Lepisosteus oculatus: one gene and its partner. Each later gene encodes a partner of the first gene's protein in a complex. Links are inferred from orthologs where the notes say so. Each region holds a gene or a part of one and is shown on either strand. Other genes may lie near its edges.

What was found.
Region 2: the proteins of ralgapa2 (region 1) and nkiras1 are in contact, whole or in part, in a crystal structure (PDB 9QU1), measured with the Homo sapiens proteins. The link is inferred for Lepisosteus oculatus from reciprocal best matches to the Homo sapiens genes RALGAPA2 and NKIRAS1. Residues at the interface, in NP_065076.2 of Homo sapiens: Pro20, Lys21, Tyr51, Ser52, Gln53, Phe56, Tyr59, Glu60, Ile63, Arg99, Phe102, Arg103, Trp104, His105, Tyr106, Gln107, Ser108, Lys185, Ile186, Tyr187, Pro188, Glu189; in NP_001364280.1 of Homo sapiens: Lys6, Glu22, Leu24, Leu25, Tyr26, Glu34, Met39, Glu40, Asp41, Val42, Tyr43, Met44, Ala45, Ser46, Val47, Glu48, Lys54, Gln56, His58, Tyr60, His74, Tyr75, Ser77, Phe78, Lys108, Thr162.

What each region holds. Positions count from the first base shown.
Region 1 is NC_090697.1:10,026,647-10,034,615, reverse strand, and holds the start of ralgapa2 (ral GTPase-activating protein subunit alpha-2), read left to right. Parts: upstream 1-4,709; 5' UTR 4,710-5,032; coding exon 5,033-5,138; intron 5,139-7,969.
Region 2 is NC_090705.1:30,823,094-30,830,852, reverse strand, and holds the start of nkiras1 (NF-kappa-B inhibitor-interacting Ras-like protein 1), read left to right. Parts: upstream 1-4,543; 5' UTR 4,544-4,609; intron 4,610-4,895; 5' UTR 4,896-4,909; coding exon 4,910-5,003; intron 5,004-7,401; coding exon 7,402-7,643; intron 7,644-7,759. Other genes in the region: rpl15 (large ribosomal subunit protein eL15), read right to left, coding at 1,401-1,537, 2,666-2,837. UniProt on the Homo sapiens protein: Atypical Ras-like protein that acts as a potent regulator of NF-kappa-B activity by preventing the degradation of NF-kappa-B inhibitor beta (NFKBIB) by most signals, explaining why NFKBIB is more resistant to degradation.

The DNA of each region.
Region 1 (7,969 bases):
TCAGTTATCTAAACTTGAGCCTCTCTGGGTATCAAGTTTGACATGTTCCCCAAACCTAAAGGTATGAGTAGGAAACAATCGAGAACGTTGGTCTTATCTCTTGCAATTAAATGATATTCTATAATGCTTGTTGAAAACTTTTTATCCCAAAGTTTAACTTTCGGCATAAAATTACCATGCTGTGCACGCCACCATCCAGGCCCCAGAGAGTTTCTGAAAAAAAGTTCTCAGATAACTCTATAAATCCACCCATCCCAAACCTGGCTTGGGCCAAAAATAACAGCACTGATTTTAAAACTTGTCTCAATAGTGTGTGATTGCTAACCCTAACCATACCTTGGGTACCAATTGAGCATTTCCGCGATCTATACCTGAGCCTCTCTGGGCATCTGATTTTGATTTCTTCTCCAACCAAAAATTGTGAGTGAGAAATAACCAAGACTGTTGATTAAAGCCCCTGCAAGGGAATGAGATTCAGTAATGCTTGGTTACAAATTTTAATCTGACCAACTCAGTTTTGGGATACAATTACCTCACAGTGTACCATGCCATGCAGGTTCCAGGGAGTTTTTGAAAATAATTTCAGATAGGAGCAAAAAACCACTTGTCCTAAACCTGACTTGGGCCCCAAAATCCACCGCTGATCTTAAATTTGTCTAAGAAGCGTGTGAATAGTTACCCTCACCCTACCTGGGGTGTCAACTGAGCACGATCTTTACCGTGACCTTCTCTGGGCATCAGATTTTGACATGCTCCCCAAACCAAAAAGTATGAGTGGCAAACAATCAAGACCATTGAGTACAAAACATTTTCTTCTTAAATTTTTCAGCCATCGCTTTCTAGATCTTTCTTTGCTCACCTTTGGGATTAATAGCAGCCATATCACCCTGCAACTCACAACTGGCAACCCACTGAAGCTCAGCAGGTGTGAGCCTGGTCAGTACCTGGATGGGAGACCTCCTGGGAAAAACTAAGGTTGCTGCTGGAAGAGGTGTTAGTGGGGCCAGCAGGGGGTGCTCACCTGGGTCCTGTGGGTCCTAATAACCAGTATAGTGATGGGGACACTATACTGTAAATAAGCGCCGTCCTTCAGATGAGACGTAAAACCAAGGTCCTGACTCTCTGCGGTCATTAAAAATCCCAGGGCGTTTCTTGAAAAGAGTAAGGGTGTAACCCCAGTGTCCTGGCCAAATTTCCCATTGTCCCTTACCAATCATGGCCACCTAATAATCCCCATCTATGAATTGGCTTCATTACTCTGCTCTCCTCCCCACTGAGAGCTGATGTGTGGTGAGCGTTCTGGTGCACTATGGCTGCCATCGCATCATCCAGGTGGGGCTGCACATTGGTGGTGGTGGAGGGGAGTCCCCATTACCTGTAAAAGCGCTTTGAGTGGAGTGTCCAGAAAAGTGCTATATAAGTGTAAGCAATTATTATTATTATTATTATTATTATTATAGATTCTGTGCATTAGGTAAAACATAATTAAAATGCCATTTGCCATTTTCTACTGGTTTCAGTTCTGCTGAAGCCCTTTTTATGTCCTTTAATAAGTCTTTCCTTCATAGTGTGCAGTCCTGAAACAGCCCTAAATCTTTGTTTTGGACTGCACGTTTCAAAATTTACTTCAATGTACACTGGGCTGTGGTCCCAGCTCTCTAATGGCCCTTTCACCAGTGTTTTCCTTTTTGTACTATCTGGTCTCCACTCAGGTGGGATCCTGCATATTTAGTTAGATATCCATGTGATTTGTAAGTTGTTTATCTAATCTCAGCTAACACTCAACAGTAAAACAACTAACTTTTTAGCACTTTTTAAAATGTTTGAAATGTTTAAGTGCTACAGTACTTTCATCAAACTGAATGTGAAGACTGAAACAAAAAAAACATTCAGATTGAAAATGTAGCACCCAGTAAGAAAGCTGTTAAAATGAAAGGGACTGTGTTATTTAGCTTAGTCATATACTGTATGTATATACTGTAAACCTTGGTGTTGCCTTTGATCCACCAAACAAAACTGATTCAAAGATTGTATCATGTGTAGGGTGATCAAATAATAAAAAAGCTAAATAATTGATGAGACCAGTTGCATTATTTATAAATATTCTGGAAAGGATGGAGAAACATCATTTGAGAACTTATTGAAGCAAATAAAAGGAATAGCACAATTAGTGTGGGTTCCACTGTTCATATCACTCACAGAATTCTGACAACAAACTGACAGTATCCTTAAACACTAAAAAGTCTTCAAACCCTACATTTCATCAGAGATGAACAACCCAAGGCCAGGGGGAAACTTAGCTGGGACGCAGGGGTTACACCCCTACTCCTTTCGAGAAACACCCTGGTATTTTTAATGACCACAGAGAGGCAGGACCTCGGTTTTACGTCTCATCCGACGCCTTTTTACAGTATAGTGTCCCCTTCACAGGTCGAGCGCCCCCATCTGACCCCCCACTAATACCTCTTCCAGCAGCAACCTTAGTTTTTCCCAGAAGGTCTCTCTCCCATCCAGGTACTGACCAGGCTCACACCTGCTGAGCTTCACTGTGTTGCCAGTTCATATTTTTCTGGTTTCTGAAGCATCAGTCACAACAGAAATACTTTACCCTGACTCTTGCTCCTGTTGCTTTTAACTTCTTCTGTTTCAAGATGTGCCATCACATCAGAGATTATTATTTTGGTGTTAGCACAGTAAACCTTCTCATCGCATAATTTTTAAATCAGTGTCTATTGACCCAAAAGCGCTGATTGTTTTTTACTAGATGGTAGGCACAAGTACTTTCAGCAGTGGTTCTGTTAAGATCTCTCTCTCCAGGTTCTGGCTTACAGAAGAACTGATTATCGCCACTGCTTTTCAATTGAAGGCACAACCTGTCCTTTTTTGTTTGTAATTGATTCTTAATATAAGACTTGTAGCCTTGAACTGATTCTTAATATCAGACTTGGTGCCCACAATGTGTTGATTTATAAAACCTTCACACATCACAGTTGTTTTCCTATCTGACTCAGAAATAGAAATTCCCTTTGTAACACACTGTTAAAAGTGCATTCATTATTAAGTGTTTTACTTTTTTTTTGCTGTTCAACAGTTGGGATCTAATTCATATGCTGGAGACATCCTGGCCTACAAGTTTCTTAATTAAAATTCACCATATTGCATAAAATTGTCAAATAATTTTGTTCAACAAAAAGCCATGACTTTGTATTTATGTTTGTCAATTGCTTTACGTGTGTCAATTTCCTGAGTACCCAAATGTTTTTTTATTATACATTGCCAGTAACACAAGATAAAGTAACAGTATGCATATTCCTGATTAGCAGTCTTAAATAGAGGAGGAGACTACGGGGGCTCTTTAAAAATTTTGAGAAAACTGCCGAGATACAAAACTCAAGCGTTTCCAATGAGATCAGTCAACCATGGCTGTAACCAAACATTAATATACTGTATCCTGTAGGAGCTGCTGTCCACTGGATGAGATGAGATCTGAAGACTCCATCTATACTTTTAATAAATGCAGAGTGTAAGGAAATAGAAAAGTTTATATATCCAAGAAAAGTCTGTATTCATTTAAACTTTTATATTCTATAAATGGTCTCTAGATTCTGTTTGAAGTGGTGACATCTTCTGTGACATGCCAGATTCAGTTACGGGTTGCTGAATCTTTCTGTTGCCTGTATATTAACCTTTAATGGCCTGTCCCATAAAAATTCCCACCAGTATAAAAAGTCTATAAACTCTGAATCTGAGCTTCTGGCTTGGCAGGACTACAAAATATGTCTTCCAAAAGAGCCAGATGTGATATGTGTGCTTGTAAAACAATTTAATCTAGGCTACATTCAAGGTGACCACTCTGTTTCAATTTGCCTGAATGAAAAAAAAAAACATGCTTTTTTTAGTATCAACAAACATAAAAAAATATTTATTGAACATGAGTCATTGTAGCTGAATCATTATTCTATGTAAGTATCTCATTTGTTATTCTTGGGAAACGTATAAAATCAATATGTTTTGTAAATAAAACACACACATTAAGAGGGAACTTTTAGGCAGGTCATATTCTAAAGCGGATGTTAGCCACAACACCAATATTTTTATGCACAGTGTCATGGACTCTTTAATGAACACGTCACATAAGCAAGAAATCTTCACAGAACAGTACCCTCGGTCACCGTGCCGGGCAATGGATGGGACATTCTGGCACAGAGAGAAGAGCGCCACCTTCTGGTCCACAAACACATACCGCTTATAGCAGCTACTAGGTTTTCCTTAGAGGTCCTGGCTAGGCCCAGCCCTACATACAGTACAGTAGCTTCTGAGATCTGAAGAGATTATGCTACAAGCTGCTAAAGCTTATATACAGTATAATGTAATGTGTTACACTCGTTTGTGTGACCATGAGAAACACCTCCCCAAGGGAGCAACATTCGAGGCTGAACAAATTCTTGTAATTGTGTAACACATACTGTACTTCCAAGCATTGTTACACTGAGCCCATGCAGTAAGTAGCCTGCAGTGCATTGTACTGCTCCATGTTGCAGTTTTAAAAGCAGCGAGCATATACGAATACACACAGTACCCACATGCGTGTGTTTAGTATTCACTTCCTAGTATTCGTGTTTCTCGCGTCGTTTTATCAAAGAAAACGGCAAAGACGGAAACGACAAACAGCAATGCATTTTCGGACGACTGTCCTAAGCACGGACCGTCTCCGTATTCCCCCCACTTGCGAGAGGAAAAGCGCTCTTCGGCTGCTGGTCGCGCCGTCCTTCACTTCCGCACAAGAAGATGAAGAAGCGGCGGCGATGCCCTTCTGGAGCGCAGGACACGGAGACGTCCCCACGCACGGCACGCTCCGTGTTTACACTCCCACGAAAGGAGGAGACTGGCGCACAGCGTCGGTTTGCAAGCCAGGCACGACAGCTGAAAGGGGAGGAGGAGGAGTGGAAGGGGGGAGAGAAAGTGATACAGAGAGGGGCTGTATGGTATAAAGGAGGAAACCGCAGCTTTCAACATTTCCTTCTATAGCGGAATGTTTTCTCGAAGGAGCCATGGAGACGTCAAGAAATCTTCACAGAAAGTTCTGGACCCAAAGAAGGATGTGTTGACCCGACTCAAGCACCTTCGGTCACTGCTAGGTAAGAGGACAGCTCCATCTGGGATCACCCGTCCACAGTCAGCGGTGCATCCCCCCGTGTTTGTCCTCTGTGCTCGTTTGGGGATAACACAAATTGATATAGCCGCTCCTATTTGTCTGTTCACCGAAGAGGATTTTGGTGTTTTGTTACGCTGCTAAACCACGTCTGCATTCGGACTTCTGTTGTGCTGAACGTACTGAATTGTTTAAGCGAGTAAAAAAAAAAACACAACGGAGGTTTTTTTTTTCTGTAATACAATGCCTGCTTTGTACTTCCTTACTGTGCGAATTTCGCGGCTGTTGTTGCCGATTTACCTGAGTCGAGCCGGTGCCGCAGGTTTGACGTTAGGATTAAGCTAACCTTGTCATCCGTGACAGCCGCACCAGCACGCAGCTCATTCAATGGGGAAACTCACTGGATCCCAGTGGTGCCGCAATACAGGAATTCAGTGCAATTCAATTTTCCCCTCACGGCGAGCAAGCCACTAAAACGTCAATTGGCATGTTTAAATGTGATCAAGGTCTCCTCTCTGAATTCACCCACTAGCAGTAACAACGGAAAAATAAGCCACCCTCGTTAAAACGAGAGCAGGCAGGAGCGTTGGGTATTTATTGTGACATTGGTACAGCACTGCCTGTAGGGAAAGTAGTTGCATGATTGCTAAACATTGTCATCCTGAATCTTGCACAAGATTTGTGTTATTTTATTTTGTCGATATTGACTTTTCTTGGGTGCCATTTAGCTTTAAAAATACAAATACATGTATAAAAATGTGCATAACTCTCTATACTACAGAGCGGTGCGCTTCGGGTTAGGAATACATACAGTATATACCTGCCTCGTAAGAGGTCATTTTGCCGACTTTTGTCAGGATGTCTTCGGATACATTTTTAAAAAGCAGAAAATAAAGTTGTTTTTCAGTTGGTTCTCACCGTCCTGCTTTTCTCCTGTATTCTTTTAGGGAGTTTAGCTGGGAGTCTTTTTGATAAGCTCCCACTCTGTTGTCAAAGAGGGGTGGGGGTTGATATCTCGAGTTCCTGAATCTTGAACTTCCTTTGTGGAAGGTAGTTAAATAAACTGCTGTCTGGAGCTCAAATGTGCCTGTTTAGCAGTTGAATGTCATATTAAGCATGTGCTGTCTGAAAAATTACTGTAAAGTAATGATATACTGTATATGCTACGTCTCATAGCTTTTCCAGGAGGAAATTCTAAGCAATAGCAGTGTTTTAAAATTATGCTGGAGGTGCTTTGATTTGACCTAATTTGTATAGTACAGACAGTACTTCAGACTGTCTGAATAATTGCTCTTCACAACACCATTAAAATATGACAACAATGGGCTAGATTTTACTTTATAATAGAAATACATTGTACATTTGCTGTAGTTTCACCTACAAATAGTGCCTGTTACCATTAAATAGTGCACTTTGATTTTGTTTTTTGAAACAAAACATGCAATTATTAGTGAAGCACTTTCCAAACAAACTTTAACTTGTTTATTTATGGATTGAATTATAATGTATGTTCTTTTAAATTTTCTATATAGTGAAACCACCAGGTTTGTGTTTTTCCATGTGATTTGCCACAGTTTGGGAAGCATATTCCTAATTTAACCTCTCTGGTGAAACCTGATCATTGTTTAATTTTCTTGTAGGAGACAGAGCACTGAAGACTGGCAGTTAATTTAATTTTCTTTGATTTTTAGCTTCAGCCCAGACTATTTCTTAATTGCATGAAGTCAGGGGAATGCAGTGAGGTTCAAAATCTGAGGAGGTCAGTCTGTCTGTAGCTATCCACACTAGATTCCTGCTTACTGGGGCTCTTGGTGGTACTGTGAGGTACATCGGCCTTAGACATTTTTCACTGCTCAGCTGCTAGCTCCCTGTGTAAATACTACCAGTGTGTTAAGTCAGGGTTGCCAGCTTGGTACTGCTGGCAGACAAACATCCATTATCTTGCGTGTAGGACTCACTAAATTGGCTGTATAGTGGAATGTTATGACTTGAATTGCACTCAAGTGGACAGGAGTTGATACAGTGTATGTAACATCTTCTGTATATGAACCATATTTGCCCCTGTTTTATTTCAGTACAGAATGAAGTACATGCTCAAATGCTAGTATTTTACAATAGGTAACCTTTTCTGTTGTGATATCCTGTAACCTTTCACCCTGATCTGTAGTGCGTCAGTGCGCTTTGGAAGGGAAAGTTTAAAATAGCAGAACATCCTAAATGAAAGTACATTGTAAAACTTACAGAATTCATTGTTAGTACAGTAGTTACAGTAGGTTGCTGTATTTCTTAACACCCCCAAACAGCTATTTATTGTCCGGCACAAAGGAATGTAGGAGAGCTCTATTTTATTTGTGCATGATCCTAAGTGACTCCTTAGCTTTTTTTAATCAGGTAGTATGTTTTGATAACCCCTGACATCTAAACGTTTTCTTCTGCTCATGTGGCATTGAAAGTGATGGCCAGTAATGCAATTATTTCCATGTTCACTGTTTGTCCCCTTCTTTAATGTTGTAAATGGGTGTTTCACTTCAGTAAAAAAAAAACTGCAGTTTCATAAACAATAGATTTTCCCCACTTTTAGTTCCCTGTGCAGTGTACAGGAAAGCAGAGTGAGTGATGATGCTTCAGGGAGATTTTGATGGGTCCTACAGTACGCAAGTAATATTTTAGTCAACTACCTTTAAAATTCATTGGAGCTGATATGGTGTGCAGTGATAAACTGTGCTAACAGATCTGTAATGAGCATTTTATGAAGACCAAAAATATGTAAAGTAGGAAAAGTATGTTTTCTTTCATAGTTGTGTTGCTTTACTGCTT
Region 2 (7,759 bases), on another chromosome or scaffold:
TAAGCACGGTGGCAATTGTGCCTTTTCAGCTAAACCATTTTGGATTACAGTTACCAAGGGGTTCGCTGAAGTGGAACGAAGGGTACACATTAGAATACAGTTCTATAAAACAAGTACTGCGAAATGTAAGTTTTTGCTTGCACTGGTTAACTGTTGTTAAACAGGCAAAAGCACTAACTATAGCCAGGTGAAGGAAAACAGAGATGCACATTGAGCTACTTAACACTATCACCATGTGCTACACTGGACACTATGATCTCCACTATGCAATGAACTTCAGTTCTGTTGGTACACAACTACACTGTTGCTCACAGAAATCTGAACTTGAAGCAATGACAAGATCTTAACAGACAATGAAGACTACTGAATTTTCAAAATGAAACGATGATAAACACCAAAACAGTCACCAAAGGGTTAAAATGGATTTTTAATGTGCATTTTTCATTTACTGTAACCCATTACCTAAAGCAACTGAGTTCTTGCATTTCCTGCATAAACCCAAAACAGCATATTGGAAAATGGAATGAATCACTCTTCAGAATGAAATGCCTGAATTTCACTAGTTTAAACATTACACTCTGGTTATACTGTCCTCAATTTCACTGGAAACATTCTTCAAACTGAACATTACAGGTTTACCAGAATAACAAAAGAAAGATTAATACTGTATATATACACAATGTCAACCCCTCATGGCTACATAAAACAGCTTATCCAATCTATCGTTAAAGTGCAACCTAAACACTGATTTATTTTTTTTTCCAATGAAATCACTATGGAGCTGGAAAGGAGTGAGCTACTGTATACCTCCATCTGAAATATTTTCACAGCAATATGCCTTGTGCATGAAGGTGCAGCCAAACAAATGTCAACAGAATGAGACCGACATCTCAAAATATTACTGCTACACCTAGGAGAACAGGTATTGCGGTTTCAAAAGCCTATACAGAATGTTCCAACATCCAACACCTGAATATTTTCTTTTGCCATCTCCTTTAATACAAATATTCACATCTATAGGTAATTTCATTTTTCATTCTTTGCTCATTACATCATAACAGGTGTACATTATCGCATGCTTTCACCAAAATGGAGAATTCCCTTGATGTAACTGTTTGGATGTAAGCTGTGACTGATGTAATGAGTGTTTTTTCATCCATCATATATTTCAAACTTGATTGTTGGCAACTTTAAACATCTAGTCAAGGATGGAGTGGGACTGACCACAGTGTTCAGAAATCCAGGAGTAGTGTAGGTTGGGTAGCTCAGTTTTACAACTGAAATATAAATAGACTGATGCAAATCAGCTGCAGCACTTCAGGAATTAAGCTCAAACCTAGAAATCACCGGTTTCGGCAATATCTTGCCAAGACAGAAGAGGGCTGGGAATGTTTACGAACCTCAGCCACAGACTGCAAGCTGCGGGCAAACTTGATCTGGTTAACACCGTGATGCACGGGTTTGCCGTAGGTGGCTCCCTTGGGCACAGGCTTCTTGCGACCACCGCGGCGCACTCGCACCCGGTAGATGACGTAACCTGCAAGAAAAAGAATCCCGAGATCACACAGGAGCACCCCACTTTGCTACTGCCTTGGGCGCAAGACTCCTCTAAGGTTTACTGTTGCCTTCACTGCTCTTCTCCTCCCATCTCCTGGTTGATTCTGAGATGCTCTTACATGCATCAAACCCTCCTCTTCTGCACCCCACCTTAAACCACAAACTATTCCCAGAAAAAAAATTAAAATGCACCCCCCTTCTACTTTCTGAAGCCTCCTAAAAACTAGGCAAGGCCCATAACCCCAACTGCTCCAGGGGCGCTGTACAATGGCTGACCCTGCGCTCTGACCCCAAGCTTCTCTCTGTCTCTCATGGAGAGCAAGCAAAAGAGAAATTCCTAATGCAAGAAATTGTATATGGCTAATAAAGTGATCGTATAACTGCTGATCCCATGATCTAGTCCAATGCCACATTTTGACTATTGAGTCCCATTTCCTGCCCTGTGATGTGCTGTACTGTACTTACTACTGCTCATTATGTACAAGTGTGGAGTGACAGGGCTCTGGACTGAAAACTTGAAGGTAGTAGATGCATATCCTTGGGGGGACAGTGCTATACACTTTGCAAGACATTTTACTCACATGGCTTTAGGAAGGTGTTCAGAAAATGAGTATATGTCACTTGGAATCAAATCAATAGCAAAACAGAAAATACCAAACTATTCTCTTCATACAGGTACAGGATAAAATGCATCTACTTGATCTTTGCTTTAACTTGGCAGACAGAATCCCAAAGCATGTGAAATCTTTTCCATAAACCCATTCGTCCAAATTATTGCTGTAAACATCCAGAAGAGTGCACAAGAAGATGCTACATTTCAAAGGGGGTAGAACTCCCATCAATTATACACGTTGACATTTTTCGACAAAATAGGCTTAGGAAATCAGGAGAAGACTTCATTTTGTTTAAATGCAGATTTGGTTCACAGAGTACGAAAGCCGTCTACCAGCTACCCGTTTAGCAATACAAAACCTGTGCCGCTACGTGCATCATTCACCAACGCTGTGAGCCACCGCACCAATTGCATACCTACTGGTGCAGGACCACACAGATCGGGAAGAGGATTTCTACACACGGCCACCGGCTCGGCGGGCGATCGCGTACGTACCTTGCTTCGCCTTGTACCCGAGCCTGCGGGCCTTGTCGGGCCTGGTGGGTCGGGGAGCGCGGTGGAGGGCAGACAGCTGGCGGTACTGCCAGCAGCGGACGCGCAGCAAGAAGCGCATCACGTCGGACTGCTTCTTCCTCCATAGCTCCTGCATGTACTTGTACGCTCCCATTTTGGTCTAAGCGGACAAGAAGAGCAGTCAAGTCTGTGTCAAGCCTGTCCCGAGTTTCTACACTCATCCGACATTTTCTGAGGCTGCTTCCCGGCTTGAAAACCACCAGGAAAGAAGAAAAGCACCTTACGGTCTCACGCTTTAGATCGAAACCAGGGGTAACTATAAACCCTTTAATAGGGTTTCTTTCTCTTTATTTTCCTTAACACACTTTGAAAGAATCATGGTACCCGCAAGCCAATGCGACCAACCGCACATACACTTTACAACTACATTTTAACAACGTTGGCCTTCTCAAATGATTACATATTCGTTATATTCACCCGATCTCATGTGGCTGTAAAGCCGGTGAATAAATACTATGTATCCGAACGAAAAGTCACGTTGTAGAGCACCATTTCACTCAATGGCTGTCTACACGTACCCTGCACCTTTTCCCAAACTTCAATCGCAAATAACTCTCTCTTTATCCACTGTTACACTTCAATAACGGTAGTACCAAAACATTTATAAACTCTACACTTTAACTTCAACTTATTTCGACCCGATGATAAGATTTTATTACGGATTCTATGTGGATTGCACATACAGAATAACCAAACACAATCTCCTTACATGATGGCGTACCAGCCGGAAAGGAAGAGGGAGCTATCCCATCATGCTTTATGAAAATCTACCGGCGGAAGTTGATGCGACAACGCAAGGGTGCTTGGGAAATGTAGTGAACAGTACCTTGGAATTAGGATGATGTTTTGGCTGGAAGCAACAAAATATTGTTTCAGAATATTGCAAGCACTCCCTACAGGAAATAGAACGCAATTTAGGGTTATATATATATGTTTCTTTACAATTATTTAGGTTGTACTTGTATGGTATGTTGGGCCTCATTCATTTCCATTATTCCCGCAGCGAACTCTGGAAGTCTGTACTGAAGAGTTAGGAGCGAGCATGAGAAACCTAAGAATTATGTGTCTTTTCTGTTTGCAAACACTTGCTGATCCAGCATCGCATAGGTGTTTTAAGTATCGGTTCTCTTCTTACACAACAATTAAATTGTTTGACCCAACCCCGCACAACTCTTTATGTCAAGAGGCATGTCAAGTACTTTCTGTTTCAAAACTTCTTATTTCAATTTATGTCCTCCAATCTTCTGGATTAATGTTAATTATTCCTTTTAAATATACATTTTTGTTTAAGAAGATGCGGCTGACATCATTACAAATTTAGGCAATTGAGTTATTTAAGAACCCTTATTCTTTCCCATGAAAGCTTTCAAGTTCTCAGTTACCGGTGTAGAAATCGGTACCGATATATTAATGATCAAAAACATGTAGTATTTTCCTACAGACATCAATTGTACTTATGTAAAGCGTAAACTGAGACCTCTTTCAAGGACGGCAAAGCTTTCTAATGCTATTTTGAATCCGCCAACCAATACCACCAGGGTGAATATCCATACTTCGCTTCTGTTAATATTTATATATATCTAATAATAATAATAATAATAATAATAATAATAATAATAATAATAAAAATTGCTTACACTTATATAGCGCTTTTCTGGACACTAACTAAAAGCGCTTTACAGGTAATGTAACCACCACCATCTATTACCTTTAGCTAAAACAATAAATGATAAAGATAAGAAACTCCGAGAACAATAATTAACTTGATTATTCCCCTGATTATTCACCTGTGTTTAAGTGTACGAGCGGACCTGCGCAGCTCTCTACTGTAGAGCTTCCTGTCAAGTTGTCGCCTTTGCTGCAGAGGTGACCGGTTTATCATTGAATGTATTATTGTTGAACTACAAGAAATAACTGGATGTGATGTCGGTTCAGTTTGTTTCTTTGCTAAATTGTGCAGGAGCGTTGAATTTAGCCTGAAACTTTAAAGCGGAGCTACACGCATGTCTATATACTGTAGTAGCTTATATTTTTAGAAAAATCCCTAATGACATAGACCGCTCCTGTGGCGCTGCATTCCGAACTGCTTCTCGTAGTTATTTTGATTGAGGCGGTTTAGTTTTCCCTCGTTTCATTTCCACGAACTCTCCAGGTTTTTAAAACCAAATGGGTAAAGGATGTAAAGTTGTGGTCTGCGGGTTGGCAGCTGTGGGGAAGACGGCCATTCTGGAGCAACTGCTGTATGGAAATCATATTGTGGGTAAGTTTTTTTTTTTTAGGTGTGATAAGTAGCTTGCCAGCTCAATCAAAACGAGTGCATGTAACAGGATAATTAAAAGCCAAGACTGTGCACCTCAGTATTGACACAGGAGTTAATCGTTTCCCGTTTTCCAAGACAGCATTATAGTTTATAGCAGAGGTTTTCATGGTTTCGGATTCATGGTTTCGGATCTGGCAAGTTTACAATCAAGAAGCAAACTCCTTCGTTAGAGCAGCGTTCATACCGATTTGGTGTTTAAAGTACTGATTAAAATGTTGAAATCCTATCTACAATTCAAAATTGATTCAATTTTGTATCGTAGATATGATTTTAACACAATTTTGTATCGTAGATATGATTTTAACATTTTAATCAGTACTTTAAACACCGAATTGGTATGAACACTGCGCTAACGAAGGAGTTTGTTTCAGGTGTGCGAACTTAACTCTACCCAGCTGGGCAGAGCAGAAGAAATAAACCTTGGGAGATATCTGATAGTGTCTGAATACAATACATGGGAAAGTATAGTAACAAGAAACCCCAGGTTTTACTTCTAATTGCTATTGTATCTATATATACTGTATATAGAAATTATTTTACCTTGCTTCACAATGCAATGTATGATACTCAGTGCATGAATTCTTTTATTGACCCAGGTGGGAAACTCAACACACAGCACACTATACAATTAACACATCACAAACCCCTTCAAAAATAAGAGACATAGGCATATGATGAGAAGGAAAAAAATACAATATACATCTACTACACTGCACATAAAACAGTGTTTATCCACTCTTGATGAACTCTGAGTTATTCCAGCAAAATGGTGGTTTTGCTTTGAAGTGCCCCAGACCTGTTTTGCTTCTTGAATGTGTCCTTGTGGCTGTGGTTTGCTTAAGTAACTAGGGAAAAGGAAACCCCTATCTCCAACCTGGAAATTGTTAACATGGAACACCATGATCTCTAGAGCATCATGGGGACATCACCATACATTTGGACAAATACGTTTAGATTGAGACGTAGCAAAATACATAATGTCCGTTTGTTTACTGCAACAAATTGTTCACCAGCATAGCACTCAGTGTGCTAAAGTATACACTACTGTAGCCTGTACTTTTTGTGCAGGCCTCAGTAAGGAATTTATCTGAAACCAGGAATGCATGCAGACATCACTATGCCCTTCAGAAATAAAAGATAAGGTAGAGAAGAAAACAGAATAATTATAAAAAGATTATCTGCTGCCTCACAAACCAGAACCCATTTATTTGTTCAAAGGAATTATAAAACTGGCTTTAAAAGACACACCATCATTACCATATGATGGAGACCAGCAGCCACAAGGAGAAGGAGGAGCAGGAAAACAAGAGCTTCTGAGCCGTCCTCATCACAGGGACAACAGGACACAAAATGGCTACCAACTAATGGGACAAGCACGCTATAAATAATTATTTCCAAAACCTGAGATGGTGTGCTTTTAATGATCTGATTTACTGGAAATTTTAATTTAAGTTATAATTGTTTGAATTTGTGTAGCACTTTTCTTCCCAGAGCTCTTTTGTGTAGAATGGAGCCTCATCATCCATCCACCCACCTGGGTGATGACCTGTAACCATTCTGCCCCAGCAGCCCCATTCTGCAGCAGGAATGAGACATTGCTTTACCTGTTGTATTGTGTTAGCCAGGCAGGAAATTATTCAGGACTCCTGGATTATCGCCATTTCTCCTTCAGACTGTGCCATAGAATCTTTAATCTTTAATGGCATCACCTGTAACTCAGTGTCCCCAGTCATCATAATGGGCACTGCCCTGGAGATTCTATTCCAACACGACATGCAGTAGCAAACTGGTTTTCCTTAGAGGATTCCCATCCCTGAACTGACTACACCCAGCCTTGATCACCTTCTGATATTTGATAGATGAGATCAGGCTAGAAAGTAGTAACTTCGCTGTTAATGCGAATTGCTTGTGACGATGAGTGAGTGAAGTTTGAAGAGAGCTCGTGGTCCAATATTGTTTAATAAACAATATTTACTACTCTTCATTTTGTTACAGTGGTGGAAATTGGAAGTTGCCAATTCTGATGTTCATGAACATCACTGTGTAACAACTTAGTCTCCTCATAGGAAACATTTTAATACTAAAACTACCCGAGGATAGTGACCAAAGAGAAGGCACAAAACTCTGTACTTGGGTGATTTTATAAAATATGGAATTAGATGAAATGGATGTCTTTAAAAGTGCTGCATAACAGCATTGATATAAAGCATTGATAAACATAAATCAACAGCAAAAACCTTAAAATTCAGAGAACACTTTATAAATCTGATAACTACAGTATATCAAACTAGCTATATAATCATCATGACCGATAAGAAATCTTTCTTTTCCTCTGAAGGGTCAGAATCCAGTGGAACCCTGGAGGACATCTATGTAGCATCTGTGGAAACAGACAGGGGAGTGAAGGAGCAGTTGCGTCTCTATGACACCAAGGGGCTTCAGGATGGCCTTGATCTTCCAAAACACTATTTCTCCTTTGCCGATGGATTTGTGCTGGTCTACAGTGTCGACAGCCTGGAGTCTTTTAAGAAAATCGACATATTAAAAAAAGAAATTGACAAGTCCAGGGATAAAAAGGAGGTACAGTAATATATGTACTGTATATGCACCTCATAAAAACACAGAAGCATATATTGTTATAAACATAAATCAGAGCCTCAAAAGGTCATGAATAAGTAGAAACTAATCAGCCCACC